Astyanax mexicanus: one gene and its partners. The protein of the gene in region 1 interacts with the protein of each later gene in a pairwise test. Links are inferred from orthologs where the notes say so. Each region holds a gene or a part of one and is shown in the gene's direction. Other genes may lie near its edges. The genes, in order: enkd1, cdr2a, si:dkey-174m14.3 and pdlim7.

What was found.
Region 2: the proteins of enkd1 (region 1) and cdr2a interact in binary tests that used the Homo sapiens proteins (3 or more experiments, as listed by UniProt). The two-hybrid records come from large-scale screens. The link is inferred for Astyanax mexicanus from reciprocal best matches to the Homo sapiens genes ENKD1 and CDR2.
Region 3: the proteins of enkd1 (region 1) and si:dkey-174m14.3 interact in binary tests that used the Homo sapiens proteins (3 or more experiments, as listed by UniProt). The two-hybrid records come from large-scale screens. The link is inferred for Astyanax mexicanus from reciprocal best matches to the Homo sapiens genes ENKD1 and BEGAIN.
Region 4: the proteins of enkd1 (region 1) and pdlim7 interact in binary tests that used the Homo sapiens proteins (3 or more experiments, as listed by UniProt). The two-hybrid records come from large-scale screens. The link is inferred for Astyanax mexicanus from reciprocal best matches to the Homo sapiens genes ENKD1 and PDLIM7.

The regions. Positions count from the first base shown.
Region 1 is NC_064419.1:252,803-260,528, forward strand, and holds the start of enkd1 (enkurin domain-containing protein 1), read left to right. Parts: upstream 1-4,713; 5' UTR 4,714-4,798; intron 4,799-5,213; exon of another isoform or gene 5,214-5,349; intron 5,350-5,655; 5' UTR 5,656-5,677; coding exon 5,678-5,762; intron 5,763-5,940; coding exon 5,941-6,168; intron 6,169-6,565; coding exon 6,566-6,738; intron 6,739-6,875; coding exon 6,876-7,028; intron 7,029-7,169; coding exon 7,170-7,312; intron 7,313-7,516; coding exon 7,517-7,653; intron 7,654-7,726. Other genes in the region: vdac3 (voltage-dependent anion-selective channel protein 3), read right to left, coding at 3,904-4,004. UniProt on the Homo sapiens protein: Microtubule-binding protein which regulates microtubule organization and stability. Promotes the stability of astral microtubules and facilitates the proper orientation of the mitotic spindle.
Region 2 is NC_064410.1:7,015,566-7,022,864, forward strand, and holds the start of cdr2a (cerebellar degeneration-related protein 2), read left to right. Parts: upstream 1-4,289; 5' UTR 4,290-4,503; coding exon 4,504-4,585; intron 4,586-6,306; coding exon 6,307-6,419; intron 6,420-7,299. Other genes in the region: mfsd13al (transmembrane protein 180-like), read right to left, coding at 1,258-1,413.
Region 3 is NC_064408.1:87,188,796-87,196,103, forward strand, and holds the start of si:dkey-174m14.3 (brain-enriched guanylate kinase-associated protein), read left to right. Parts: upstream 1-4,302; 5' UTR 4,303-4,528; coding exon 4,529-5,365; intron 5,366-7,308. UniProt on the Homo sapiens protein: May sustain the structure of the postsynaptic density (PSD).
Region 4 is NC_064426.1:2,414,580-2,422,520, forward strand, and holds the start of pdlim7 (PDZ and LIM domain protein 7), read left to right. Parts: upstream 1-4,931; 5' UTR 4,932-5,083; coding exon 5,084-5,104; intron 5,105-7,941. Other genes in the region: cltb (clathrin light chain B), read right to left, coding at 1-51, 270-319, 2,413-2,551. UniProt on the Homo sapiens protein: May function as a scaffold on which the coordinated assembly of proteins can occur. May play a role as an adapter that, via its PDZ domain, localizes LIM-binding proteins to actin filaments of both skeletal muscle and nonmuscle tissues.

The DNA.
Region 1 (7,726 bases):
GTCATCTTCTGCTCCTCCCCCCAGAACCCCTACACCGAGAACAACATACTGAGACCCCACTCAAACATCTTCTCATGATTAGGGTTCTGGTCCAAAGGGTCGGCCTTCTGCCCTCAGGAGAGCACAGCTTTTCAGCCTTGTGTCACACACACACACACACACACACACACACACACACATATATCCCCCCCAACTCCCTAAACCCCCACTCTATAAATAGTGGGGTAAATCTGACACCAGTCTCCATGTGACGGAGAGAAGAGCTTACAAAACTGAAGAATTTATCTCTGCTCTTTCACACATCCTGCCCTACACTCAACTACGGGGGTTCCATATCATATCATACACAATAATATCACCAACAGTTTTTAATATGGTGAACGATATATGGAGATATTTGGAGTGCATTATTATTATTATTATTATTATTATCATGATATTCTGGATCATCGACTTCTGTTACAAATCTGAAAAAAAATTCTTGTATTTTTTAATATCTCAGTTAAGGGTGTGCCATATCATATCATATAATATCATATGTAATAATAAAATTAAATTTTCATTCTGTTGCAGTAGTGTATTGTTAAAATATTTTTTTCAGTGTTTTGTCATAGAGTCGCCAGGAGTATCGTTATCGCTAAAAATACCAATACTGTGATATTATTTTAGGACCATATCGCCCACCTCTACACTCAACACACTGATCAAACAGTGATTCCTTTACCTGACCTGCTCCCACTCACCTGTAGGATGATATGGCCAACATTTATATAAATTGTACACACCTTAATTTCAGTCGAGATTACATACTATACGAATACTAATACTGATATTAGTATGAATAATATAACATCCACCACCTGGAGGACAGAATCACACACTAATACTCTAGTGATGAGATCATCTCAGCACAAGACTGATAAAGAGCCGTCACAGCCCCAGTCTCAATCAGCCTGATCTCTATATCCTATATCAGATCAGTATCAGATATCTACCAATGAACAGATATTATATTATATTAATAGATATAAAAGGAGAGTAAAGCTCCAGTCTGAGTCTGAGACAGAAGAAGAAGGTGTTATGGGTAAAGGAGGAGGAGTGTGAGCTGCTGACACATCAGTATCTGTATCTGCTGAACTCTGAGTTTAACTGAAGCAGGTTTTAGTGTTGAGTAATAATTCAGTATCAGAGCTGCTGACAGGCTGAAACTGAGGGGTGATGATTCTCCTGCTTCAGGTACAGCAGAGCTTTATATACGCTGGTCTAACAATGACCTGTGAGGGCTGGTGTGTGAGGGGCAGTGTGTGAGGGGTAGTGTGTGGTGTGTGTGAGGGGTAGTGTGTGAGGGGTAGTGTGTGGTGTGTGTGAGGGAGGGGATAAGGTCAGAGCGTTACAGAATTAGAAAGATATTAAGCAATCACATTTACTATAACACACCCACTGCTACCGTACTACTGAAACCTGATCAAACACACAAACACACACAAACACCACTGAGCCTGAATTAGGGCCATATAACTGACTCCTAGTCATAATATGTTTCTATAGTTTTATTAGGAAACAATAAAAATGCTGCATTTAACTACAGCGCATCAGTCCAATTCCTCTGAACTAGGAATTGTGGACTAATAATAATAAAAAAATATTTAGTATAATGATGTATATACAGTACCTGCTTAATATGTTTTATGACAGCAATGTCTAAACGTGCCGCTACTTTTTCCAACATATATTTGTAAAATATTTTACTTCTGATAAAACTCAGATTATATCATACATAAATCCCTAATATAACTGTACTTCTCATCACCCACATTTCTATTAAATTCACATGTTCAGTTCTACACCACTCATCTCTAACCACAATACGAAACTACAACAAACTCCTGTAATATTTACCTCTTCTGTGGAAAAGCCATGCCTTCAGAGTGACAGAAAAAAATCCAACAAATACAAAGTTGATTCTGATCATACATCTGAAGCCATCACATAAATTACTTATATTATTATATTATAAGCATGCAATAGTCACATGCAGGGCATGCAATGGCGTGTAAGGAAAATGAAACTTGATTGATATAAAATAAATATTTGTACTGCTTTTAGGTCTGTCACAATAAATGTATCTCTTCAATATTTTTGATAAGACAATTTAATGCCAATTGCACAATAATATAAAATAGCATAATAATGGTAATATACCCTTATATTAAGATTAAGAATATTTTTAAATCATTTATTGTGCCCAACTTGTCAATAAAAAGGAAATCATTAATGTCAGGGTACAAATTGTAAAAAACGGATATTAAACGTATATTTCTTCGGATGCCAATAAACATATATATTTACAGAGAGATGTTGTAGCTGTAACAGGCCAGTGTTTCTTGGTCTTTTTTGGCACATAATAAATACATTAGTATTGGTTTAATATTCAGTATTGGTTCATTGTGCATTCCTAATTTTTAATATTGCCATTTATACAGGAGATTAACAATATACTGCAGTTGCCTTTTTCCAATATTTTGCAGCCCTAATCTATATTGCATATCTGTATCTAACGTAATCAATACTGATCAATACAAAAAAAGCTAATGCTAATGTATTGGAAACAGTGAAATTAAGGTTTCTGCTGTTGATATACAGTAATTGCATCTGAACCCACATATTCACATTCACATTACACACTAACACACTTGTACACACACACAGCAGCTCTGCTGTCCTTCTTTTACAGCCCACTGTAATGCGCATGCTCACAAGAAACATGTACCGTAGCTATAGAGAATAAAAAGACCCAAATAATGTACATATAGTTTATATGTAAAATATATTCTAACGTTCAGATAATACGTTATTTTGCAGTTTACTGTGAGTAAAGTATCAGAGGCAGCTCTGGGCTGTTTCATAGAGGGCCGGTGTTCTGTCGATTTATGCTACCCGTCGATACGTGCTTCCTAAAGGCACTGCGCATGCGCTAACCAGCGCGTTTTAATTATTTCTCGTGCTTTTGTTTTTTTACAATTAATCTGTTACAATCTGAACTCACTGTTATTGCACAAAGGTGTAAAAGGAAGTTAATAATTATAAAAAAATATATATATATAAAAAATACATAAGCAGTTTTGTAAATTACCTCTCATTGCCTTTAAATTAACTTTACCATGATACAGTGATTAATGCTATACAAATATACTAACCTACATCTACTGGGACTTTCACTGCGAACATGCTCTAATATAAAGCTTATTTTGTATTTGTACAGTTAAATATACACTAGGGTAGCACGGTTTGACAAGGTAGCAAAAATCGACACAACACCGGTCCTGCATGCACACAATAGGCTAATAGGCGAGAGGAGGAGGGGGGGATTATTTAATTGCTCTCCGTTACATCAGAGAATAAACAGGAGCAGAGAAAGATAAATATCACTGCGTGTTTTTGTGGAGTTGAGCTTTTATATACGAATAAATTAATAAATTACCTCAGCTGTCAAATATAAAACAGGAGACTGCAGATAGGCAGGCCCTGAATAAACCTCTTATCTCACACTATAGCAGCGATATCGTGTACTATACTACACAAATAATCTCTATAAATAAAATAAATAAGATAATTAAGCTTAATAAGCAGTGTGAGCATTCACACGCACACCCAGCACGCGCACAGAGAACCAGAGAACCGGAGAACCTGCAGGCGCTGCAGGGCTGAGCTCGGTTAGTGCACGGGGCAGGAGTACGGGAGCTGTAACGGTGGCGCGGCCTCGGTAAGAGCCCTGCTGTCTCCCTGTCCTCCTGTCCCTGTCTTTCTCTCTGACTGTCTCTCTATATCTCTCTGTCTGTCTGTTTGCAGGCCTGCACAGTAAACCCTCTGCAGACGCAGGGCGGGTGTTGCTCGGGCTCTTACCGTGCTCTGGTCTCCGGTCTCCGGGCTGCGGGACTCCGGTTCTGAGAGAGGAGGACACACTGAAGGAGAAACAGGCGGAGAGGGCAGGACGCGCCGCGCATGCGCACTCCTCTCACTCTCCCGCCTATCCGATCCCGAGTAGATATTAGGAATAAACGATGTTCTGTCGAGTTATGCTACCTATCAATATGTGCTTCTTTACCGCAACATTTTTATATGGTAATGTTTATAATGTTTTATGTTTATGTCACGATAATTCCTAGAATTCCTAAAGAAAAAAGAAACAAATAAACAGTAAAACAATAAAAATATATAGTTTCTAATCACGTATATGACATTCACTTTTGGACTTTACTTTATACAGTGATTTAGCCTATCCACATATCCTACCTACGCTTTTGCTGAGAGTATTTTCTAATATGGTGCTTTTTTTGTAACGTTACTTTTATCTTAAAAAAATTGTCCTAGTTCCTAGATGATAGTTTTCTACAATGATCTACAATTTAATAAAATTATAATATTAAAATAAAGAAAATGTATGGAGCCCACAATGTGACATCATGTTACATCATTTTTAAAAATAAATTGATTATTATTTTTAACATGATGTCTCCTTAGGGGCTCCGTATTAAAGTATTTCTTTATTATTATTTTGTTGTGTTTTTAATCTTTGTTAATGTTACCGCTTTTAACATTAAGCAACATTTATTAATCGCAATTAATGCAAATAAAACTGTTACAATGTTTTAAAAATGTAATAATTATTAAAGAGGGGGAAAAGCGGCGCTGTGTCTTTAAGCCGTTGCCATGGAGATAGACTCGGCTTGCTGCGTCATCAGGCGGTGTGTTTACGGGGCTGAAAACGGACTGAACCGAAAACGCGTTTAAATTACAGGTAACTTTATTAATCAGCCTGTTATTAATCAGCCTGTTATTAATCAGCCTGTTATTAATCAGCCCTACTGTTATCCGGGTTCAGGGTTAATTTATACACCGCTGAGTAATTCTGATCCGGACCCGCGGTTTAGCACAGCGCTCACACAGCTAGCTTTTATCTGTTATATATACATTATATCTATTCTATATACATTTAACACCGTATTAACCCCGAGAATATAAGTATAGTGCATTGTTATATGTTATAATAAATATATTAGATAAATATTATAAACAGTACTATTCAATGTCTTTCTTTATTTATTAAATGTATTTATTCAATAATTTGAATGTATGTTGGAGATTAATATATATAACTCTGTAGTAAAGAGTAAAAAAGTGTTATTCCTCCACATTAATCTCCTGATCTAAAGCTGATGATCTGAGATGGTGATTTGAGGTGATTTAATTGGGATGAGCTGGAGCTTCACAGCGTGAAGGAAAAGCAGCAGCTATTGTTCAGCACCTCCAGGAACTCCTTCCTTCAAGATGCTGAGAAAACTATTCCAGGTGACTCTAAATCATGAAGATACTGAGATTAAAAAAAACAAGAGTCTGCAGATCTGAACTCAAAGAGAAAGCCTGTGTCCAGACTGGTACTGAACACAAGATGAAATTTAGAAGAAAAATACCCTCATACTAAACAGATTTTAGTTTTTGAAGTGTGTGTGTATTCACTTTGTACAGTGGTATCTTAGTTTTATTCTACTTGTAAACATATTTGTGTTGTAACTCCTATAGTCTGGTGTTGATCAGACGCTGCTCTCTAGGTACCGTCCTCATCATGTTCTTCTACCATTGTAACTCTTGGTTTAGGAATTAAGGGACTGGAGAAATCATGTGTGAAGGACCTTCGATGATCTCTGGGCCCATTCCACCAGACCCCTCCCTCTTCCCCGAATACTACAGACGACCTACTTCTGGTAGGGATTTGGAAGTTATTTCACCAAACAACACCATAATAAAACATCTCTAAAACTGTATTTGTGTTCATACTGATGTCAGATGGTGACTGTGATCAGTTTTTTCATCAATCATTTATTTCCTTTGTGTCTTATCTTAATGTAATGTTATGTACTGTAATGTTTCCTGTCTATGAAGCTCGGGGTCGTCTGGAGGGGAATTCTAAAAGTGGATCTTTAACTCTAAATGGACCCTTAGCCCCAGACCCTGCTCTGCATCCAGGCTGTTACAGCGCCCGCCCCGCTCATCCTCCTCCTCGCATCGGCCCAAACGCCAAACACATTCTAGAAAGAAGCCAGAAAGGAGAGGTGGGGGCTCTCCTTAAACTGGAGGGAGTCTGCCTGAAGCCCCCCCCTGTTAAACACAGTAAGATTTAAAGCTGGGGATCACCACTGATTTACTAAATCCACTGTAAATCATCAATTCTGATTTAAAATATCCCTATTTGATTCAATATCAATTCATTAAGGTACATTTCAGTTACAATTTCAGGTTTAGCTCAGTCCATAACACAAAAAACAGTGTACATGTAATAAAACATACACATCGGCTGTGCTTCTCACACTTTTACACAACTTCAGTATCAGAAATCACTTTAAAAAGGATTTTTTATTCTAAAAATTAAATGGATTGATTTTCCTTTACTCTGAATATTAATATAACTGTGTCTGCATTTAAGGTGCAACAAAAACTCAAAAAAAGGAAAAAAATGCTTCACAAAAGAAGTTACATGTTAAGTTTTCTCTCTTATTTTTCTCCTCAGAACCTGCAGCTCAGGATTATGGGAAAGAGAACGTGCGACGGCTGCGTGAGATCCAGAGACGATTCCGTGAGCAGGAGGCGCAGAAAGAGCGAGCAAAGCCGGTTCCTGTCAAAGCCCTGTGGAGCTCTCCCAAATACCAGGACATCCCCTCCAGGGTCATGGCCCAGTTACAAGTAAGTATTTCATTTTTTTGGATGGAATTGAATGGAATTGTTGTTCAGCATTAATGTATAGTAATAGAGTAATGTATATTGTATAGTTTATAAACTTTGTGTGCTTGTGTTATCTCTTTCTGTACTTCTGTCTGAAGGAAAAAAGCCACCCCAAAAAGGCAGAATGCCAGAACTTCCTAAGAGCTCACTCTGTGTGTGGGGCGGGGGGTCGGCCTCAACCTAGTCGGCCTCAGTCTGTGTCGGCATCACCCTCTGAAAACGGGCAAAAACCTCAAACAGCAGATCCAGAGGTAAACTCACACATTCCTATAAACATACACACTTACACTGTTTATAGAAAACTGCTTATAACTGAAGCGAATGCAGTTAATTTCGTATACAACTGTGTTTTCATGTTATTAAAAATGAATATCTGATATCTCCTGGTGTAGATGGAGGTGAGAGGACACTTTGTTGACTTTGTGAGTCATAATGCACGCGCTGCGAGAAAGACCGCACTGAAACGCTCTCAGTCTCTACAGGACCTGAACAACAAGCAGCCGCCGAGCGCAGTGAAGGGCCGAGTCCCCCAGTAGTGAGTGATCATATCAAATATATTTAACACAGATCATAGAACATACATATTGACTGAGAGTTAAAACAAACCCAGAAGCATGATTGGAGCATTGTCTCTTTATTACAGTATTTACAGTATCTGCCCATATCAGTGTGTGTGATTGGTCATTGGTATGTTTTTTAATTTTTGCTTCTCTCTTCCTCTCTCTCTCCTTTGTTTTAGTCTGGAAGAAAGAAAGGAGCAGTGGAGGAGAGAGGCAGAAGAGAGACGGAGGAACGCTCCTGACCCGTCTGCACCTGCTGGACACACTCAGATGTCCGACAGAGAGAGGAGAGAAACTCTAAATTCACTCAGAGAAAGTATGTTTTCGCCAAAGCTCTAGTTACAGCTAGACCTGTAGACAACTACCGTGTAGAGATTAAGCTAGCTAAC
Region 2 (7,299 bases), on another chromosome or scaffold:
TGCCAGATAATCTAAATAACTTTAATTAAGAACTCTTTGACCAACCAATTTGACCATTTCAGAGTTCTTCCTGGAACATTTCCGATGAGCCTACCAAACTAATCTTGTGTTCCAACAATTAGTGCCAAAGGTATTCAAATCAATACAATGACAAGAGCGCCCAAATTTATGCACCTGCCTAAGAGTGTTTTAATAATTATTGCACACCTTCTGTAAATCCTATAAACTTAATTTCATGTTCATCTGCTTTATGATACATTTAACTAAAATTGCTGATCCAAACAATCAATGATTTATAAAGAAAAATCATGATAATGATCAGGGGTGGTCAAACTTTCATACTACTGTAATTTGGATGGGCTTCATTCCATTCATCAGCATGTCATATTTTGCTGATTAACCTGGTTAGGCTGATCAACCAGTTTAACCAGCTTCATCAGTTTAAGACTGCCTTTTTTAGGAGGGGCATTGCTGTTGTGATGCATGCTACGTGAGAACACAGATAAGTAATAATACAACAAGTATGCCAATTCTGTGAAACAAGTGAGGCTAAAAGATGCAAAGGAGCTTCTGTATGGGACGTAGTTGTTTATATACAGCTTTGGAAAAAAAATAAGAAACCACTTCTGAATCAATGTCTCTGATTTTGCTATTTATAGGTATATGTTTGAGTAAAACGAACATTGGTGTTTTATTCTATAAACTTCGGACAACATTTCTCCTAAATTCCAAATAAAAAATATTGTCATTTACAGCATTTGTTTGAAGAAAATTAGAAATGGCTTAAGTAACAAAAAAGATGCAGAGCTTTCAGACCTCAAATAATGCAAGAAAACAAGTTCATATTCATAAAGTTTTAAGCTTTCAGAAATCAATATTTGGTGGACATAATAACTCTGTTTTCATGCATCTTGGCATGTTCTCCTCCACCAGTCTTACACATTTCTTTTGCTTTTGGATAACTTTATGCGAGAAAAAAAAAATTAAGCAGTTCAGTTTGGTTTGATGGCTTGTGATCATTCATCTTCCTCTTGATTATATTCCAGAGGTTTTCAATTTGAAAAATTAAAGAAACTCATAACTTTTAAGTGGTCTCTTATTTTTTTCCAGAGATGTATATGCATACATGTGGCTTGCAAAACCCCCCTTTAGGGGTACGTACAGAGCTCATACAGTAACGTTACAGCTCTATAGATACACTGGTATTGAGGATATCTCATTATTTGTTTAGGGTCCACAGTGTGCAGGAGCCCTCACCTGAGACTGGTGGAAGGCTGATTCAGATATCCTGTATTTGTTTAGGAAGAGTTTCACGTAGTAGAAGCTGAAGATGCTGTTCATCATGCTGGACCCGAGAGTGGTCATTGAATAGGCCACCGCAGCTGGATGCGCAGAGAGCCTGAAGAGCTTCATGATGTGAATTTGTCTATGATCATCTACAGATTAAAACATTCATAACACACACAATTCACTGTCTGACAGCGAGCTCGGCTAAACTGCTGCCTGGACCTGGATAAACCTTTTTCCGTGTGTACGGAAGAGGCGGATTCCATGTGTACTGGGCGTGTGTCAATCGGAAACAGGCTGAAGGCAGCCTAACGAGTGTGCATACTTGTGCCCTAATAAGCAGTGAATGCTAGTCGAAGCTAATTAACAAACTGCATATTGTATTCTTGCACACTGAGCTAAATCAATTAACTTAACTATAATAAACCTGTCTAGTTACATCTGTTACTAGAGATATTTTTTCCGAACCTTAAAGCCTGATTTAAACATTTAGCCAGTTAGCCTATGTTAAACTTAATAGCTTACTAGCTAGTATCTAGTATTTAGCATTAGCCTGTTTAGCCTGAGTTATCCCTATAAGCTTACCAGCAATAGTTAGTCTTTCTTTGCCTGAATTATACATTTTAATTAGAATTTGGGGGATAATCATTATCTGGGATAATGATTTTAGCCAGTTAACCTGTCACAGCCTTTTAGCCAGAGTTGGTCCGTTTTAGTGTGCATTAAACCTGTTAACCTAGGTTAGCCAGGGTAATCTTTTCCACAACTGAGTTTCAACTTTCAACAGCATGTTTTAACTAAAATGAACTAGATAATCTTTAGAGCAAGAATTGGTTTGTTATATTTATTTTACATTTAGGTCAGTGTTTGTCTGTTTTAGCTAAACCTTTTTAGAGTTAGAGTTAAATCTGGTAACTCAGTTAGTATTAGTCTGTTTAGCCTGGGTTAACCCTATTAGCTAGCTATCTAGGTTATAGTTAGCCTGCCTATGCCTGAGTTAAACATGTTAATCTGTTTTAGGTTTATCAAACACTTTATCCAGTAAGTCAGATTGAATAATTTGGGTGTTTGTTCGTTGATCTGAAATTATTAAGTGGAGTAGAGAGTGGACAGGCAACTGAAAGTTTTTCAGTATGGAAACAGGATTTTAAATAACTTATTAAACTGCAGAAAAATGGGGTTTTGTGTCACCTACCTACCTGTGGCCCATATATGCCAAACGCCTACCTTTCTGAGCCCTATTTGCTAGATTGAACCTGTTTCAGCCTTACATCTGTATATAAACCAACCAAAAAGCAAAATATGGGCCTAGTTTAAACATGATAACATGGTCACAGTGCCATCATCAGATGTTTGACAAAGTCTTTGTAGAGCTTTTAGATGAGACTCGTGTGACTCACAGGTTTACATTGTCAGGCATGTGACCATTAGTTTATACTGTGATTAATGTTTATTTTAGTGTGTGTGTGTGTGTGTGTGTGTGTGTGTGTGTGTGTGTGTGTGTGTGTGTGTGCGCACTGATGTTTGTACACTTTGTACACAGATATTGTACGAAAAATGTTTGACACATACGACACACTTTGCATGTTTTTGTATTGCCTTCTTTTAGGGCTATTTTCCATCTGCTACAACTGTGTGATGGGAGTGATAAGAAACACCTTGCTTTTTATATTGCCATCAGTGTTAATCATCTAGAGGAGGTGTGTTTTCTCTCCCCGAGATAGTCCAACATAGTTTGGTGATTTGTCTGCTCAAACACAGCTGGTTCCACCTAACCGTTAGCTGCCAGGTTCAGTAGTTGGTGTGTTTGAGCAGGAAAGTCACTAAACTTTGCTGGACAGCAGTCCTCCAGGATGGGGATCAAATAGGTTACAGTGTTTACACAGCTTGTGTGAGATGCGACACAGAAGTGTCAGTGTATCAAGAGAGATGAAAAAAGGAAAACAATTATTTTATATTGTATGCTTATAGTTTTATATTGTTGTAAACAAACATTCTCAAGCAAACCTGATACATTTGGCTTCGAATACAATAATTAATCATAATTATTTATGAAAAAAATCTCAGTAAGAATGTAGTTGCAGTCTTGTAAATAGTGACCCTGCAAAATCTCCAGACTTTGCAATATCTTAGCCTGTGACTAGTCTATGACTAAAAAGTCTGTGACTTGTCTTTAGACGTGAGAGGGTGTCTACGAAGCCCCTAAGGTGACATCATGTTGAAAGAACTTATTAGAGCATGGGAATGAGATCCTAATACGTGGTCACATCTTATTCAGGGGTGGGAACAAGATCCTAATGTGTGGGAATAAGATAATTAAGGCATGTGAATTAGATTAATAAGTCGTGGCCATGACTTATTAAGCTGTGGGAACAAAATAATTAGGTCATAGCCAGAAAATAATGAAGCTTGCTTTTCTAGAATTTAGCTTTTGTTTTAGAAGCTTGCTTTTTAATCTAGAATCATGCCATGTCTCAGTGCAAGAGACTCCAAAATATCGCCAAAATTCATTTCAAGAGGAAAATAAAAAGAAACCAATTCACTCTCCATCTTCTTACAAATGATGATCCTTGAATTAGAGATTTGATGTAACATTCAGTCGTCTTCATTAGCATTAATTTAGGGAAAAGCAAACTTTATTATTCTCTGGCTCCAACTTAATCTTATTCCCACACCTTAATTATCTTGTTCCCACGTATTAGGTTCTCATGATGTTAGTCTTTTTAAAGTCGTCTAGTGTATAGTTAGCTTAACCCTCCAGCCTAACAAGAATCAGGACACCATACCCCTAGACGTGCACGCGTAAAAAAACAGAGGGGTAGGGCAAAGAGGAAGGGCCGATGAGTGAAATGGGATTGGGCCTTTGTGTGTAGGCAGCATTGTTGATCTGTTTAGGACATACCCATTTCCTTCCGCCCCGCCCTCTTTCTCCTGATTGGTCAGTGACGGTGTCAATCAAGCGGCCGGGCTCGGTGTTATGGTGCGGATTGTCCCGCCCCCTGTTGCTGCCGCCGCTGCTTCAGTAGTGAGGGCTGTGAATTTGCCACGTTGCTGTTGATGCGGAGAAGCGAGTAGCGGAGCGGCAGCCGGTGGAGGAGGAGGTGGAAGAAGAGGGAAATGTAGCGTCCAGACAAAGAGAGCAGCTGTATGAAGACTTCCAGAACTTGAAACTAATACTCGGTGTGTCGGAGAGAGACCCCCTAAAACCCAGCCAGCATGCTGACCGATATGATAGTGGAGGAGGGATTTGAACACAATGAAGAGGAGCTGTGGTACAGCAGGAAGGACCTGGAGCAGGGTGAGGCTGGGAATGCCAGTGTTTTAGCTAATGTTTATATCTGTTTTATTAACTAAATTAGTTTATTTCTGTTCTGAAACGGAAGTTGGTATTGTTGGAATTGACCGTTCCACCTTAAAAGTAACATGACGAGACGTGTGAGCTTCTGTAACTGCTGCACTATTTAAGGTGGAAAGGTGGAAATATTGTTGGTTTATTGAGATGTTAATGTTAATTTCATGTCTCTATCCAATATCCAAAGACTCTCTCACTGTGTTCTACATCACAGTAACGGTGCTTTGCTGTTGGCTTCCCCCTAAAGCTACGGCATAGTTGTGTCAGCTGAAGGTCACGCCCATAGAGGCCCTTTTAAAGCTTCATTGACTTCACTGCTGCAGTGACTGCTGATGCAAGTGGACCAGCATTGTTGGCCCCTCACTCTTTTAAATAAAGGAGAACCACTTTTGTTTCCAAAAGGCTCAATTTTGTAAAAGAGGTTTGTGTGAATGACATTTTACAGACTTAAAAAATAGTCAATTTATGTGTTCCCCACCAATTCACACTGACGGATCCTATACAAAAATGGTTCTTCTATGGCGTTGCAAAAAAAAATATATATATATACTAAATTTCCTTAGAAAATAATTCAGTTAACCAATCACTGGTTCAAAGTACCTTTCTTTCTATCTAGGCAAATATATATATCAAGTAGCCACAGATTCATCTAAACAATGCACAAAAACTAAGGCAATTTGTATTTGGTTGATTCTTTTTTGTTGGACCAATGCTTCTTGGCTATACATCTTGTACAGTTAAAAAGCCTGTAATTTTATCTTTTTAAATGTTGTCACATTGGTAAGAAACATGCATTTGTTGGATAAGCACTAGAGCACAGTATCTTCTCTGCCATTGCCAAACTTATTCTGCTCATTCTGCTGTTGTTATTGCCACTTGTTTTGTGCTTCTGCTATTCCCAGATTAGCATTGGCCCTGCTAAAGTGGCCAATGGATGACTGCTTCATCGATTGGCATGCAACTTCAAGCTGTTGTGCCACAAAACAAGTTCCATATAATGGAGCGATGTCTGAGACGTGCCACAAAGACGACATCCCAAAAAGATCATCAAGCACAGAACAAGTCAATGGCAGAATGAGCTGTTTGTCATTGTCGGAGGGTAGCTGGTGATTTTTCATGGGAATGACTCACTTACTCAGCTCTGCTGCACATCTCACAAATGCATGTTTCTTACAAATAAAGGAGAAGGGGAAAATAAAGTTTTCGCTACATACACTATATTGCCAAGTTTATTTGTTCACCTGCCTTGCATTTTATGCACTCTTTACTGAAATGTTCAGTTTGTCAGTGTTATTTAAGCACTGACAATATTCACAAAATGTTACACAGTATTTTGTATATCACAATACAGTAAAATATCACATTACCCTCCCCTGGCCTAATGATATTGATGTTTTCTTTTGGAACAAATAGCATGGGTTATTCAATTTGATATGTTTTTTGACAGCCATTTGTATGTTAACGGGTTGCCTTCAAGCGTCCTTCACCAAGACCATATGAAGCAGGCTACTTACGTCTAAAGCAGTCCTTGTAACTAGCTCTTGGATAGATAAGTCTCTTATGACTCATACCTCGAGACTGTCCGGCCTCTGGCTGACAGGATATTCTGTCGTGCTGTGCTTAATGTTTACTGTTCGTGTGTGTGTGTGTGTGTTTCTCTGAGGCAGATTTACATTTGGCCGCACAGCTGGGCAAGACACTCCTGGACCGGAACCATGAGCTTGAACAGGGCCTTCAGCAGATGTACTCCACCAACCAGGAGCAGCTGCAGGAGATCGAGGTTACATTTCCCCTCCAGCTATGTTCTGAAGTTTTTACACTGTTTCTTGGCAGGGATAAGGGGCCCATGTACCTCCACAAGATATGAGCTGAGAATTAAGCTTTTTTAAAAAAAAAATAAATAAATAAAAAGAGGATTAGGATAAAAACTATTTGCTGTTTTGAAGCACTTAGTAATTATACCAATCGGTTTCTGCAGCACAGCACTTTTCTTAAGCCCAAAGACGTTCTGCATCAACAAAAGCATATATAGTTCTGCAGCAGGCAGCGAGAGGACTGAAATGTGTACCAGTAAAGTTGGCACAAGAAAATCTAAGTAATAAGTAGTGGAAAAGTCATTGGACAATAGCTGTAATAGCTGAGAAGCATCCCAGCCAATTTACTCTAGTGGTGGGCTTTGGAAACAATATAGAGTCCTAAATTTAGAGTCACTTTGCTCTGTGATGTAGAGTAATTGACTCTCATGTGTAAACAAAAAAAGCTGTGGTGAATACTGACTGTATACTGGTTGTGAGCAGAGGAACCATCCAAGTCATGGATTACAGCATCTTCATTGGCTAGACAAGAAAACTGACCTGATATGTGCTTTAGAGTCACTCTGGTGGCGTGTTAAAAAAACTTCCAAGCTATGAAATAGAATTGCTTCAGCAGTGGGTCGAGGACAACCTACATGCCACAGGGTAGAGTAACACTGCTGGTGAAGCAAGGAACCTTCCATGTTGTAAAGTAGTGTTAACACTCTACCATCTATTCTAGTGGTGTTATCATACCATATTTTTCGCACTATAAGGTGCACAGTATTATAAGGTGTACTATCAATGAACATCTATTTTCATACATGAGTGCATCGGGTTATAAGGTGCATTTTGCTTAGTAAACAC
Region 3 (7,308 bases), on another chromosome or scaffold:
TATTCAAAAACGCTTCCCATTACAGAAATAGTGCAGTTTATAGTGTCAGCTGTTTTATTGTGTTGCTTGAAATCTCACTGAAATTTCACTGCCTATTTAGTTCACGATTCCTGAGAGGGACCTAGACCTATAATTGAAACACACACACACACACGCATAGACACACAAACGAGGTGCTGCAAGATGCCAGGTTTGTACACAAAGTACACAGATATGCAAAAGATAGCAAGACAAACAAAACCAATTCAGATTTATACTTACATTACTGGCTTTCAGTAGTCTAGACATTCATTACCTAACAACTATATCTATATTTCATTATATAACAACACATCCAGTCAAGTAACAGAAGTGTTGATCTAGAAAAAAACAAACATGATGAAGTGCCCAGTTAGGCAATCAGTATTGGATTGAATGTGATGAAGACTATTTAACCCTATATGGTTCACGCTGTGCAATATATATATTTTTTTCTGCCCCTGCCATTTAAACTGTCCACCACTAGAGAGAGAGGTTAGTTATGCTCTTCGGGACTCCGAGCCACAAATGGCTGTGGCATCACCAGGGACTGAACCTGTGATTTTCACAGAGCCAACACCTAGATGCCTTCAATTTAAAAGAGTTGCACTGCCGGCGTCTCTGTAGATGCTCTAGTGTCCATTCTACTGTAAACCCCCCTGGAATAAAAGAGCTTGAGAGCTTCTCTTCGTTCACTGTGAGTGGGGGAAAAAGCATCCTCCAGCTCAGTCGTCGCCAATTATCCCCTCTTCTCCTGCGTAGTAGGAATCAATTCCTCATCCACAGGCTCTCCAGGGGCCTTTCTCCTCATCGTCTTCCTGTCAGTGGCGAGGAGGCTAAACTGGCCCCCAGCTCCTCCAGAGAAACAGAGCAGATTATTAAAAACATTTATCATCGCAGAATGTTTAAACCGTCCACTTTATTACTAGGTGGACATGTTCAGGAGACCGCAGGGTCCACTCCGGTCTCGGCTCCGACAACAAACGGCAATCAGAATGAGTCTGCGGGGTGGTTTGTTTATTAGCAAGAGAGGCATAAACAGCCCGGCAGCGAGGGGCGCTGTAGAGCCTGCTCCTCCAGGAGTTGCTATATTTAGCTTCAGAAACTTCAAGCAGGCTTTGATTAGAGCTCGGGGTGCTTTATCTCGGCACAGTGCCGAGCTGCGTGAGCAAGCTGTGCCAACAGCTAGCATGTGTTAGCATTTGCCTCAGGCTAACGTGCTAACATATCTCAGACTATTTTTAGATACGCAACTCCAATAAAAAGGGTTCAACCTACATCACGGGACATTATATATCAAAAGTGATGAAATAACATGGCCATGCTATTCTAAAGGAAAACAAACCATTAATTTATGCAAACTAAGCTGCAAAAACAGCATTTTTTAAATCACTGTTTCTCAGCTGTCAGCCTACCAAGGTTTAGACCCTTCTATTACATTTTAGCACATTAATCGTATATAGTAAAGCACATTTAGGTTTATAATAGAGAAAGCTCTGAAGCAATCATCTAACCTACACATCAACCCAAATTTAAAATACAACCTACTGTACCTAAACCTAAACTCAAACCTAATGTACACCTCAACCTAAAACTAAACTTAACCTACACCTTAGCCTAACAATATAACCTTAATATATACCTTAAACTAAAGCTAAACTTAACCTACAACACAACCTAACACATATTTGGTTCTACCACATTTAGCTCAACCCATTTATATTACAGTTCTCAGGAAAGTTAAAGCTTTGGAGTTATTTTTAATACTCATTATCAGATTCAATACCACGTCATCTGTCAAACTTGGTGGAGGGTCAAAAGCAGTTTATGGGTCAAAGCACATATTGGGTGATTTATTTCAAACAGAAGCAAAATGTTATTTATAAATGTACAAAATACTAAATATAATGATAAAGGACAGGATGTGACATAAAAGTCTCAGCATTTACCTTCTAAAATATCTCACATTACATTTTTTTTTACATAAAATTAATCAAATCCATTGAAGAGACTGATAAAAAATTCTTATAATCTTATCTTATTTTACATGATAAATATTACATATACAGTGGTATGATAAGGTTTGGGCACCCTGATCATTTTCATGATTTTTCTTTATAAATCATTGGTTGTTCAGATCGGCAATTAAAGTTAAATATATCTTATAACAGATGAACACAGTGATATTTGAGATGTGAAATGAAGTTTATAGGTTTTACAGAAAAAGTGCAATAATCATTTAAACATAATTAGGCAGGTGCATAAATTTGGGCAGCCTTGTCGTTTTATTGATTTGAACACATTTAGCACTAATTATTGGAACACAAAATTAGTTTGGTAAGAGAAAGGGTTAAACCAACTGCTTTTTTTTTTCAAGTTTCTCTTCTCTTTGCATCTTTTATTGAAGAGTGGCAACATGGGAGCCTCAAAACAATTCTCAAATATCCCGAAAACAAAGATTGTTCAACATCTTGGCTTAGGGGAGAATACAAAAAGCAGATGTCAGTTTCCACTGTGAGGAACATAGTGAGGAAATGGAAGATTACAGGCACAGTTCTAGTTAAGACCCGAAGTGGCAGACCAAGAAAAATCTCAGATAATCAGTGGAAAAGGATGGTAAGAACAGTCATAGTCAACCCACAGACCAGCTCCAAAAACCTACAACATCATATTGCTGCAGATGGAGTCACTGTGCATCGTTCAGTTATTCAGTGAATTTTAAACAAGGAGGCTGTATAGGAGGAATGCAGAAGAAGCCTTTTCTGAGCACACGCCACAAACACACAGCATTCCAAGACGAACACTTGCTAGCCACAGTAAAATTTGGTGGCGGTTCCATCATGCAGTGGGACTGTGTGGCCAGTGCAGGTACTGGGAATCTTGTTAAAGTTGAGGGTCGAAATAATTATTGAAATAATTATTGCACACTTTTTGTAAATCCTATAAACTTAATTTCACTTCTCAAATATCATTATGTTCATCTACTATATGATTTATATTCAACTGAAATTGTTGATCTGAAAAACCAACCAAACCTGAATTAGAGAGGAAAATCAAGATAATTATCAATAGTGCCCAAACTTCTTCGTACCACTGTATCAATTTTGTTTTTGTACATTTCAGAGATTTTCAGAAAAATCTGCTGTGTAAATAAAAGTTCAGCCTGCATTACCAGCCTGCTGCTCTCAGCACTGGTGCCGAATCTGATCGCTCCCAGCAATCAGGCTTTGTGTTTTATCTGCGATCAATCCTCACAGCAGGATGCACTGACCTGGAAAGCGTCTGAAAAAGAGAACACAGGCAGAGCTGCCATCAATAGACGGCCTAATTAAAGCCATAACTCTTGAAAACACTCTCACTGATGACCTGGCAAGTCTCAGTTTTACATGGGTTTAGCCTCATTAGCTCTTCTTTGTGGGTCACATGCTTTGATTTGGGGGGGTTCTCTGAAGTGTTCCCTCACTCGGCAGAACGGTGGGACTGCGGGGTGTTGGAAACACAGTCACACCGAGCACGCTAACGGTGTGAGCACGAATCAACTCACATGCAGGGTCACTCTCTGAAGCACTGACCGTAACTGCAGGCTGACTTGTGCTGATTTTAATCAATCTCCAGCACACACAAAAAAAGGTGTACAATAATGGAACCAATTCTCTTGCTGTATAGAACCACTTTGAAAAAAGTCATTTGAAGTAATGTAAAAGAGAACTGCTGAATTGTTAAGATACAATTTTAACAATTCTAAATATGGAACTGTTATGGCTTAACTAAATGGTATTCTACTATGGATACAATTGAGCCTTTCCATTAAATAACCATATACACTCTCCTCAAAAAGTATTGGAACAGTGAGGCCACAATACTTAGTTGCATAAAATTTGTTTGCAATAACTGCATCAATGTTTGACCTATTGCCATAGTTAAACTTTCGTGTTCTTCTTTTGTGATGTTTTTCAGGCTTCTGCTGCAGCCTTTTTTTAGGTGGTGTTTGTGACTGTATCAACCATTTCTTTGTTTTGGGAAAAATCTGTCATTTTACTTTACTGTTGTATATTATTTTATTTTACATGTCCTAATGAATGAAGTATACATTTTTACTATATTTTTTAAGGGGAAATATTATAGTTATTTTTAAAGGTTTTATCAGAAAAGATGTACCAGATGTATCAGGTATTGTTTTATTGCTTTTATTGTTGTTACTTTTAAGAAATTATGCCTGGCATAACATAATTCTTATCTTATAACAGTTTAACAATTGTTATTATTATCATTATTTTTATTATTATTATTATTAGTCAGCATCTCAATTCTTCTGAATACATAAAAGCAGAAAGGAATGGCCCAGCCTGATGCCAGGCAGAGACCACTTATCCTACATATTGAACGTTGTGGTGTTTTTGGGACACATTGGGGTTGAACAGTTTAAAATCAGTACTGCGCAGCCATTAGTGTCCAAGCCATTTGTGTCCCAGCCTTCGATGCATCCACTCCAGTTGTGCAGGACAGCAGCATGCTGACCAGCAGCTTCTACACCGAGATTCGGAGAACATCATGGAGCTCCACCACCACCTCCTCTACTTCCTCCTCCTCTGTTCATCCTCAGCCTCTCCACAAAGGTCCAGCATGGCCTCCAGTGTCCTTCAGCAGCTCCTCCAGCGCCTCCTCCAGCAGTGTGGGCTCCAGCAGCAGCTGGGACACCGTGGGTTCAGACGCTTCCAGCGTCCAGCAGCTTCTGCCCAGAGACAGAAAAGTGGAGCACAGCGAGGATGTCCAGCAGCACTGGCCGAGCTACAGAACAGCTTCATGTGGGTCTGAGGGAAGCAGCGACCAGCAGGGGGCTGCACTGAGCTGGAAGCAGGGCCAGAGGGGCTCTGTCCTAGGACTGACCACTGGACAGGAATTGGCTCTAATGGGCGGGTCGCTGCAGCGGCTAGAGCTAAAAATCGAAGCCAAATTGAAGTTCTCCCAGTTCCTGGACGAGGTGAGCCACCAAGTGCTAAAGCCCACCAGCTTAACGGCCTTTAACTGCCGCAGAAGGTCCAGCTCAACAGACTCCACCTACGTCCGACTGCAGGCCCCACGGGACCAGCCAGAGAACAGGTCTCAGCAGGTCAGCATGCAGGAGACAGTGGGCAAAACATACCTGGAGACAGACATTGACAGTGTGTTTAAGGGCGAAGAGCTGAAGGAGGTGAAGGTCAAAAAGGAGACGGCCATAACGTTTGAAAGTAAAGATGCGAAAGATGGTCCAGCCTCTCCAGAGTCCAGTTCTGGATCCTACCAGAGTTTACGGAGCTTCACCAAGAGCACGCCCAGAGCTGTTGCCTCACCCAGAAGCATCCACAAGGTGGGTTTACAAATAGAAGGCCTTCTTTAGAACACCCACATGTTTTTAAAGTGATAGTTTTGTTTAAAAAATTATATTTAAATATCATAGTCCACACAGATATAATGGATCAAATGTTTTTTGAATTGCTTGATTAGATTTTGGTAGTGTTGACTATAGTCACTTTCAGAAGCAACTTTAGGAGGTCCATAAGCCCACATTACATTTTTTGTTCATAACAAATGTTAATGTAAATGCATGTTTGATTTAGTTTGTTTTTTGTGAGTGACATGAACACACTGCAGTGATCACTATAGCCTCTGACACCAGCATGGCAAAAACCAAGCTGAGCAAATAATTGTGTCCTAGAAAGTAGAACGTTCTTGTTAGATGTCTAAATGTTTAAGGCATGTTTTGGGCAAGGTATCACTTTTTCAGCTAATTTTCCTTTGGTGCTATGAGTAAACGTGCATATGTGTTATCCTGTGTGTTTGTGTGTGTGTTTGTGTGTGTGTGTGTGTGTGTTTGTTTGTGTTAGAGTAGTAAACAGTGCAGGCTGGCCTGACTCATCCACTGCTCCTGAATCAGACTGTTATCAGCAGGAGCTTCTGCATTACTCTTTCCCTCTCTCTCTTTCTCTCTCTCACCCTCTCTCTCTCTGTTTCCTCTTGCTTTCCCTCTCTCTCCCTCTTTTCTCTCTCTACTTTTTCCTTTCTCTTCTATCTCTCTTTCTGCCATGCCTCATTTCCCTGCCTCACACTGTTAAACAGGCTTATAGAAACCACACTGCAGCAGACTAGCTTTGCACAGTGCCACTTAGGCCCATGCACACTCAGTTTTCTGATGGGGGTGGAGGGGGGGGCAACCTGAAATAGTGACAGTAATGCAAATTATACTTGCATTTATTTATGCAATTGCAAACAATCTTGTGACACCCTAGTTGTGTTTCAGAGGAGAGCAAATATAGTGATACGAGATACTGAAGGCAGTCTAAACTACACTTTAGACTTTAAACTCAGTCACATTGCTTAGTCCCAAACCCTGCATTAAGACGTTTTCCTGTCTGTTTTTTTTATATGCAGCTCATGTAATTCATGTGAATCCACTAGATAGTTAGTGGAGACTTGCCAGAGCTGGAGCCATACTCACTTACTTTGTTAGACCCACCTCTTGCTTCCAGAACAAGTGTGTTTCAGCCTTATTGAGCTTACAGTACAGAAGCAAAGCAGTACTTAGTGCTTACGACTTACAAAATCACTTCATGTTTTTAAATTTTAATTAATTTATTATGGATACTTTCAAACTTCTTGAAAATTAATCTCCTTGAGTATTCTTTATTCTGTACTAATTTAATCAAAATAAAGCTAATCAGCATACACAAACTCCATATCTTCAAAAAACAACTGATGCTCTCAATCACATTAAGAGGACAAGAAATTTAGGTAATTGTTAACTCTTAAAAAGGTACAGCTGTTAACTGAAAGTCATTCTAGGTGACTACCACATAAAGATACAATGCCTAGATATGCAAAGCTGTCATCTAAGCAAGAGGTGCTTACTTTAAAAAAATCTTGATTGTAAAACATATTCTTGTTTGTTTAACACTTTTTTTTTACTAAATAATTAATAGTTTGGATGTCTTTAGTATTCCTCTACACTGCAGAATTTTAAAATAATGAACAAACACAAAATTTAAAGTGTGTCCAAACTTTTTGTTCCACTGCAACTCACTACATGTAATGGACAGAAAAGCCGTGATGCAGGTCCGGCAGATGTGCCAATATAGCACAAGGCGTGCTTCTTGGTATAAGTATATTAAACAGATGTGGCACTGCTAGTAAAATATTGAAGCATTGACATTTGACATTTGGCACTTCTAGGGGTAGCTCCCAGTCTTGGACTACACAGGTTTTTAAATGTAGATTTCCCATTGAAAGGAAAATAAAGTCTATGACTAGACTGAA
Region 4 (7,941 bases), on another chromosome or scaffold:
CTGGTCGACCTGGGCGATGGCTGCATAGCTGTCTGTTACTCCATTCGAGTCCTAAACCATTCATAAAACAGCATTAGAAAACATATATTGACCATCTATGGTGGTCACATTGTAAACATTGTAGATTTATACAGAGTATACTGATTTATACTGAGTAACCACACACAAACTACACACTTACAGCACAACAGCCTACAACATACAAATTATCTACCTTATCCAATATTCCATTTAATTAAAAAAAAGTAAATGACACCATAAAAACACACCTCAAACATGTCTCCGTTTACTGCTGCAGCAGGTGCTTCTCCAAACGCATCTGATTTAAGAAAAGAAGAGAGACAGACTGTAAAATCCTGTGAGTTCTGGTCTTGTTGAGCAACGCTTTTCGTATTTCCTCTCAGAAGAACTACTAGTAGAAGAGGAATGCTGTAAAACCTGCCCGGCTATATGACTGTTACTGAGTCCTATATGTAAACCAGAGATGAATGATCAGCTTGCTCATTCGGTGAGGTGGCAACAGACGTTATTTTAACAGAAGTTTAAAAGCTCAGGTGTACTACAGTAAGTAGTGTTAATATACCTTATATAAAAAGTGCTGAAAACACTGAAACCTAGTGGAATACACCAGCGGATATTCTACCAGGGACGTTGACAGTCCAGATGTATTACCCTAAATGATCATTACATTAGAACCTACCAGAATCTTACAGTAATTATGTTACCAAAAGTTTAACAGTAAAGATGTAATATACTAGTTAACTAACCAGGTAGAGAAACGCTCACAGCATTGGAATCTACCAGAACCTACCACTACCACCACTAAAGATACACTTAGTATATTCCACCTTAATTGGAGTTTAATGGAAACTGTCATTTCCATTGTCTTCACTAAACCTAAAAATGTTTTCTCTACAGCTCTGGAAAAAAAATTGAGACGAGTTTCTTTGATTTTTAGCAAATTGAAAACCTCTGGAATATAATCAAAAGGAAACCAAATTGAACTGCTTGAATTTTTGCAACAAGAGTGGCATAAAGTTATTCAAAAGCAGTGTGTAAAACTGTGATTAAGACCAGGATTATTGATTTCTGATTTTCTTTAAACTTTATGATTATAAATATGAAAGGCCTGAAAGCTTTGCTTATTTTTTGTTATTTCAGCCATTTCTCATTTTCTGTAAATAAATGCTCTGAATGACAATAAGTTAATTTGTAATTTGGGAGAAATGTTGTCTGTAGTTTATAGAATAAAACAATGTCCATTTTATTCAAACATAAACCTACACATAGCAAAATAAGACAAACTGATTCAGTAACTGAGGTGCTCTCTAAATTTTTTTCAGAGATGTATATATCCCATTAGTTTATACACACTTGTGTGCAATATTTTCAAGATTAATCAAGATTAACGAATCCTTTTTATTAAAATCACAGCTCAGAACAAAATAAAGTGTTCATAAATTTACAATAAATAGAAAAATAAATAGAGAAGCAGTATTAAAAGGAGAGAACGTCACAATTTTTATAAATTACATTTGTATCCAAGGTATCAAACTAATAATTTACTGCTAACTCACTCTGCAACAGCTTCATCCACCAGGCAGTCAGACTTCTCAACGCACAGAGACAGAACTGAACCCCCACCCCACCCACCACTCACCCAACACACTCGCACAAAACTAAACTGTACACCCCCCCCCCCCCCCCCTTTACACTCACAAAGAACTGAACTTCACCCACACACACACCCAGTCAGCACACAGAGGCTGACATGACTTTATTTGCTGCACTCTTAAAAACTATAAACTCTACCTCAGTAACTGCTGTGATTATATATGTTCTATATGTTACAGTATGTCACACATCTCTGCACCTTATCCTCACTATACACTTTATTATACCGTATCGGTACTGCACTGTCCTGACTTTAAATTGTCTCGTCTTTTGTATTTATTGTATTTATTGTTATTTAGTGTTATAATTTTATAATTTTATGTTGCACTGTCGTCACTCCTACACTTTATGTTGTCTATTGCTTGTGGTTCTATGTTGCACCATGGTTCCGGAGGAACGTAATTTCATCACACTGTGTACCTGTACTCAGATGTAATGACAATAAAAGCCTCTTGACTTGACTCTTGATTTGAACAGCTGGATGCTGTTTAGCGTTAGCATTAGCTTGCTAGCTTGTTTAGAAATTGGTTAATTGTTTTGTATTTTTTAAGCGCTTTTAAGGAGCCAATGTGTGTCTTGTTGGTGTTAAAACGTTAAAATCCTGTTTTCGCTTTATTATACCTTGTTAAATTAACTGTATCGCCTTGTCCAGACTCTTTTTATCTGTGTAGACTCTAATGTTAACAAGCTAAGCTAAGCTAACAGGCTAACACGCTATCACCCAGACAGACGACGTGCCTCCGCTCGGCCCCAGGCCGTCCGCCTCGCTCTCGATGCCGGCGATCTCGCTCTGCTGCTGCGCCAGGAAGGCCGCGGCCGGGTCCTCCTCAGCCTCGGCGCCGTTGGAGAAGCTGGAGAAGCCGAAGTCGTCGGCCATCTTCACCGCGGCGAAAACACCTGCTTTATTCCTCAGACCTCGGCCGGGCTCTCTTAGGCTCCAGCTGTGGCTTTGTTCAGGTTTAAACGCAGGAAAAACAAGTTAAATAAATATGTTGAAAAAAGAGTTGGTTTATCTCCTGAATCGAGCCGGACTCTTAAACCAGGTCAGCTGGAGGTTAATTCGTCCCTTTCGTCCCAGAAAAGCAGTAAAAACAGGGACGTGGAGGAGAGCCGAGGTCAGAACTCAGAGAGGAGAGTATAACTCTAACGCTGGGGCTGATTGTATGGTGTTGTGTCTCCATCTGCTGGAACAGACTGAACACACATACAGTACTTAACTAGTGGTAAACACACTCACCACAACCTTTATTGTTATTATTAGGAGTTTATCACTATGCTTTAAAGAGGCACTAAACCCTAAACCACGGTTTTTATTTATTTATTAAAAATTAAAATGTGTTACTCTGAAGTAATTAAACATGTCATTCCTGATTAAACATTTCCTAAATGTTCTTTATTGCAGTCATTTCGACATCTACAGCACCTTCTTATATTTAACTTTGCTAAAGGCAAGTATGATAATATCGCCCCCCTGGTGACGTCCAGAGGCACACTGCTCACTGCTCAGCCCAATTACCTCTTCCTTCTGCCCCGCCCCTAAACCCATACATCACTGCAGTGCCCCTCCCAAACTACCCCTACCATTTTTTTTTAGCATTTTTGAATCAGCCAAAATCAGCGGGTTCATGCTGCCTTCAAGTCCTCCTCGTAAATTCCTACTTTCGAGGTTGGAGTTCGTAATTACGACATGCGTTCAAGTGTTTTTTTTTTTTTTTTTTTGTCAGGTGAAAATGGACGGCATTAGGAAAATACTTTTGTTTATACTTTTGTTCTGTTTGGTCTGTAGAGTGTGTGTAGGGAACAGATAAACCTCAGCATAAAGTGTATAGTGTATGGGGAACACAAAAAAAGGAAAAAAAAAATCTGGGAATTTTTTTAACCTTTTTTACATGTGCTTGCATTGTAGGTGCATTCACTTTTAAAACTACTTTTTACTTAATTAATTCTGTAATTGAGGCCAATTTAAATAAAAATACAGAAGCAATTTACAAAATGGGGGGTTTTGTTTTATTTTATTCATTCATTTTTAGAAATTCATTTTAAATACTTTTGATAAAATTATTTACCTTCTCTGTTATGTGTTTATTGTGCCAATTAATTAGTATTGTGAAAAAGGTTTATATATTAAAAGACAGGTTTTCGTGGGGTTTCCTGATTCACTACGTGACTGTATGTGTGTAATACGTGTATAAGTGTGGCTTAGAAGTTCACAGTATAAAGGTGCACGACACACCTTGTTTTTTTACCCACCCGTTTACGCAAAGCCACGCCTCTGCAAACTTTTTAGCCAATAAGAGTGCGAGGCTATCAGCCCTCACACTCTTTCAGCACACTGGGGAGGATTGAGTTCTTATTTTAAATCCTAAATGGACTAATTTAAGGAAAAAAATCAGCTTTGGTTTTACACATAAAATATTGTCAATTAAGAATGTTTAATTCTATAAAGAGCCATATTTACAAAAGAAATATGAGTGTGGTGTGACAGTTAATATATAACTGTTGTACTGCCGTGTATATATTGCACATAGTTGCACAGTGAAAAAAGTGAAGCAAATAAGTAAAATAAGTATAAGTTAAAGGTTTCATATTTAAAGGTTTAAATAAGTGAATGTTAAGATTAATAACTAATATAAACTTTTTTATACAACAAAAATGATTATTTATGGAACAAAAAATGATTCTACTTGTGGCACTGATAAAAGTCCCTATTTTAAGATATTTGTCATTATGTAAGAAAATCATCTTCAAATGACTTAGTATATATAAAAATAATAGCCTAATATCTAAACATAATTTAATATTCCAAAAAAATGAGATAGCATCTAAACTAGTGAGATAGCTTCTAAAAATAATGAATTACTTTCTCAAAATAATGCCATAGCATCTAAAAAAAAGAGAATTTATCTCAAAACAATACATTAGTATCTCGAAATAATGAGATATCTAAAGATAGTAAAATAATGAGATACTAGCTAATCAAAACATTTTTTTTGTATCTCGAAATAAGGAAATATCATCTAAAAAATAATGTATTAGTATCTTAAATTAATGATAAATATTATCTAAACAGATAGCATTGTAGTGAACGCTGAGTACAAACTTTTAACCAATCAGAGAGCTAGGCTATCAACCGTCAAGGCCAGTCAGAGGCCCGCAGGGGCGGGACATGTCGGAAAACCGGTGGGGAAAAAAATAACGGCAAGCGGAGAGCGCCGCGTCACGCGCACACGTGGTGGATGACGTATCGGTGAGTCCTGCTAAAAGTGGTGGTAGAGGGAGAGCGCGCGCTGCTGAGCGGAGTTACCCGAACCTCCACCCCGCTGAACTACAGCCTGAACCCGGCTACACTACAGCTCCAGCCCCGCTACCCTACAGCCTCCACCCGCCGCCCGCCCGGAGCCTGATCACCATGTCCGGAGACACCAAGGAGGTAATTCATCACCAGCGCTGCAGATTCTTACTGAACCAGAAAACCATAACACTCAGAGCGGAGTTTAAAACAGCTTTAACAACACTAACACTGCGGACAATCACTAACCTACAGATTTATTTATCAACAACTGCCAGAAACATAGTTTTATACTCAAAACACATCCGATCCGAGTCAACACAAAGACTTCAGTAACTGTTATCACGTCTGAGTGAAGACCAAGACTTTCTATAGCCGAGTTTGAGTCAAGAACAAAACTGGGACACAAAAAGCCTGATTCAAGACTGAGGCTTTGAGTAGTTTAATTTTAGTCACAAACAAAGCTTTTGCTAGTTTCAATTTAGTCAAAACTGAGCCTTTTAGTAGTTTAATTTTAGTCAAGAACGCGACATATCAGATGTGGGTCACAACCAAGATTTTTACTAGTTTATTCTTCAGTCAAGACCAGGATTTTTTTTGTAGTTTAATTCAAGACCGAGACTTTGAGTAGTTGAATTTGAGTCAAGACTGAGTCTTTGAGTAATTAGTCTCTGAATCTAGACCTAGACTCATGGTTGTAGAGTCTGAGCCTAGACCGACACTCATGGTATAGAGTGTGAGTCTAGACCAAGACTCAAGGTTGTATAGTCTGGGTCTAGACCAAGACTCAAGGTTGTATAGTCTGGGTCTAGACCAAGACTCAAGGTTGTATAGTCTGGGTCTAGACCAAGACTCATGGTTGTAGAGTCTGAGTCAAGACCAAGATTTTGAGTTGTCGATTCAAATTCAAGACTGAGACCAGTACACATCAGATCTGAGTCAGGACCAAGACTTTCTATAGTTTTAGAGTTTGAAACAAAACTGGGAAACTAAAAGCCCGATTCAAGACTCTTTTAGGAGTTTAATTTTAGTCAAGAACAATACTTTTAGTAATTTAAATCAAGTCAAGACTAAGGGTTTTAGGAGTTTAATTTTAGTCAAGCACAATACTTTTAGTAATTTAAATCAAGTCAAGACCAAGACTTTGAATAGTTAAGTTTGAACCAAGACTGAGGCTTTGAGTATTCAGTCTGAGTCAATACTGAGACGGGGACGCATCAGATGCGAATCTAGACCAAGATTTTTACTAGTTGATTCTAGGATTTAAAGTTGTTTAATTTGATTCAAGACCAAGACTTTTAGTAGTATTACTACAGCACTACAATTTAGCTTTAAACTTTCCTACTGTATTTCTATCTGCTTTATGCTCTTCTTTCAGGCTTCTCTACCCACAAAACTTAAAAAAAATAAAAAATAATAACAGCTTTCAAGCTATTCATTAACAGTTTCATTCATTCATACAGCTGCTCATGCAGCAGTTTACACTGTGGCTGCTGCAGTGCTGTTGAACCTCTCGGGAAGTGGTCATTACCCTTAATTACGCTTCATTGTCATTATTCTTGGCAGCCAACATGTCATTACACGACCCCCATTAGTTTTTAGGAAGGTTTGAGTTTCTCTCAGCCTGAGACAAGCTTTTTCATCTGGTCTAAATCCCAAATAGACACTAATTGGATGTATTGGGCAGTGACTTAATGCACTTAAACACATTCAGGGGGTTTGAGTTGTGTTAGATTGAGTCTAAAACTTAACTTAAATAGGCACATACTTAGTTTTTAGAAGACTGACCTTATGTACTTTTTACCCATTAGAGAGGTTTCAGTTTTGTCAGCCTGTGAAAAGGCCTTTATCCCAAAAATACACATATTTAGCATAAAAAGCATGCTAAATTGATAAAAATGCATTTTACTTTTGGTATGCACCCAACTTGACAGAATGAGTAGTCTATAAATCCCAATTTTAACACATTAAGGAGGTTTGATTGTGTAAGAATGAGGGGATAACTCTATTTTAACTATTTTAAACTCATCAGGGAGGTTTTAGTTTCTCTCGGCCTGAGAAAACCCCCATTTTAAATTTAGTCTGAATCCCAAATAGACGTAATTAGATGTGTAGGGCAGTAATGCAATTAAACACATTTAAACGCAATAAAATAGCCTCTAAATAGTTTTTAAAATAGAAAGAATAAGTTGTCCATTTGTCTAAATTCCAACACATTAAAGATGTTTGAGTGAGTTTTATCAGGCTGAGAGAAACCTTTTAATTTGGGTCTAAATTCCAAATCATTTGACACAAATGGGATGTAAATTGGTTATTAATTTGGTATTAGTGGTTGATGTGGTGCAGCACACCAATATAAGTCTAAAGACAAAATTTCTCCCAAAATTCCAAATAAAAATATTCTCATTTAGAGCATTTATTTGCAGAAAATGAGAAATGGCTAAAATAACAAAAAAGATGCAGAGCTTTCAGACCTCAAATAATGCAAAGAAAACAAGTTCATATTAATTTAGGAAGAGTTCAGAAATCAATATTTGATGGAATAACCCTGTTTTTTAGTCACAGTTTTCATGCTTTATCTTGGCATCATGTTCTCCTCCACCAGTCTTACACACTGCACCACTTACACCACTCTCCACACAGTTCAGTTTGGTGGTTTGATGGTTTGTGATCATCCATCTTCCTCTTGATTATATTCCAGAGGTTTTCAATTTGATAAAATCAAAGATTTCAAAGATCACGATAAACTAATAGTGCTCTAGTGTAACACACGTGCTACACATGTGGTTCTTCTGTTTTGTCACTAACACTAACTCTTGTAGATTCTTGATTTCATGTTTAAGTGTTGGAGTGTTGGAAGGCTTCAGTCCTGCTTATTATGTATTGCTACCAGAAAGAAGGAGAGAGTACTGAGAAGAGGTTTGACTAGGAAACTGCAACCTATACTTGCCATGCCCATGTGAACCCTGCCATTCTCC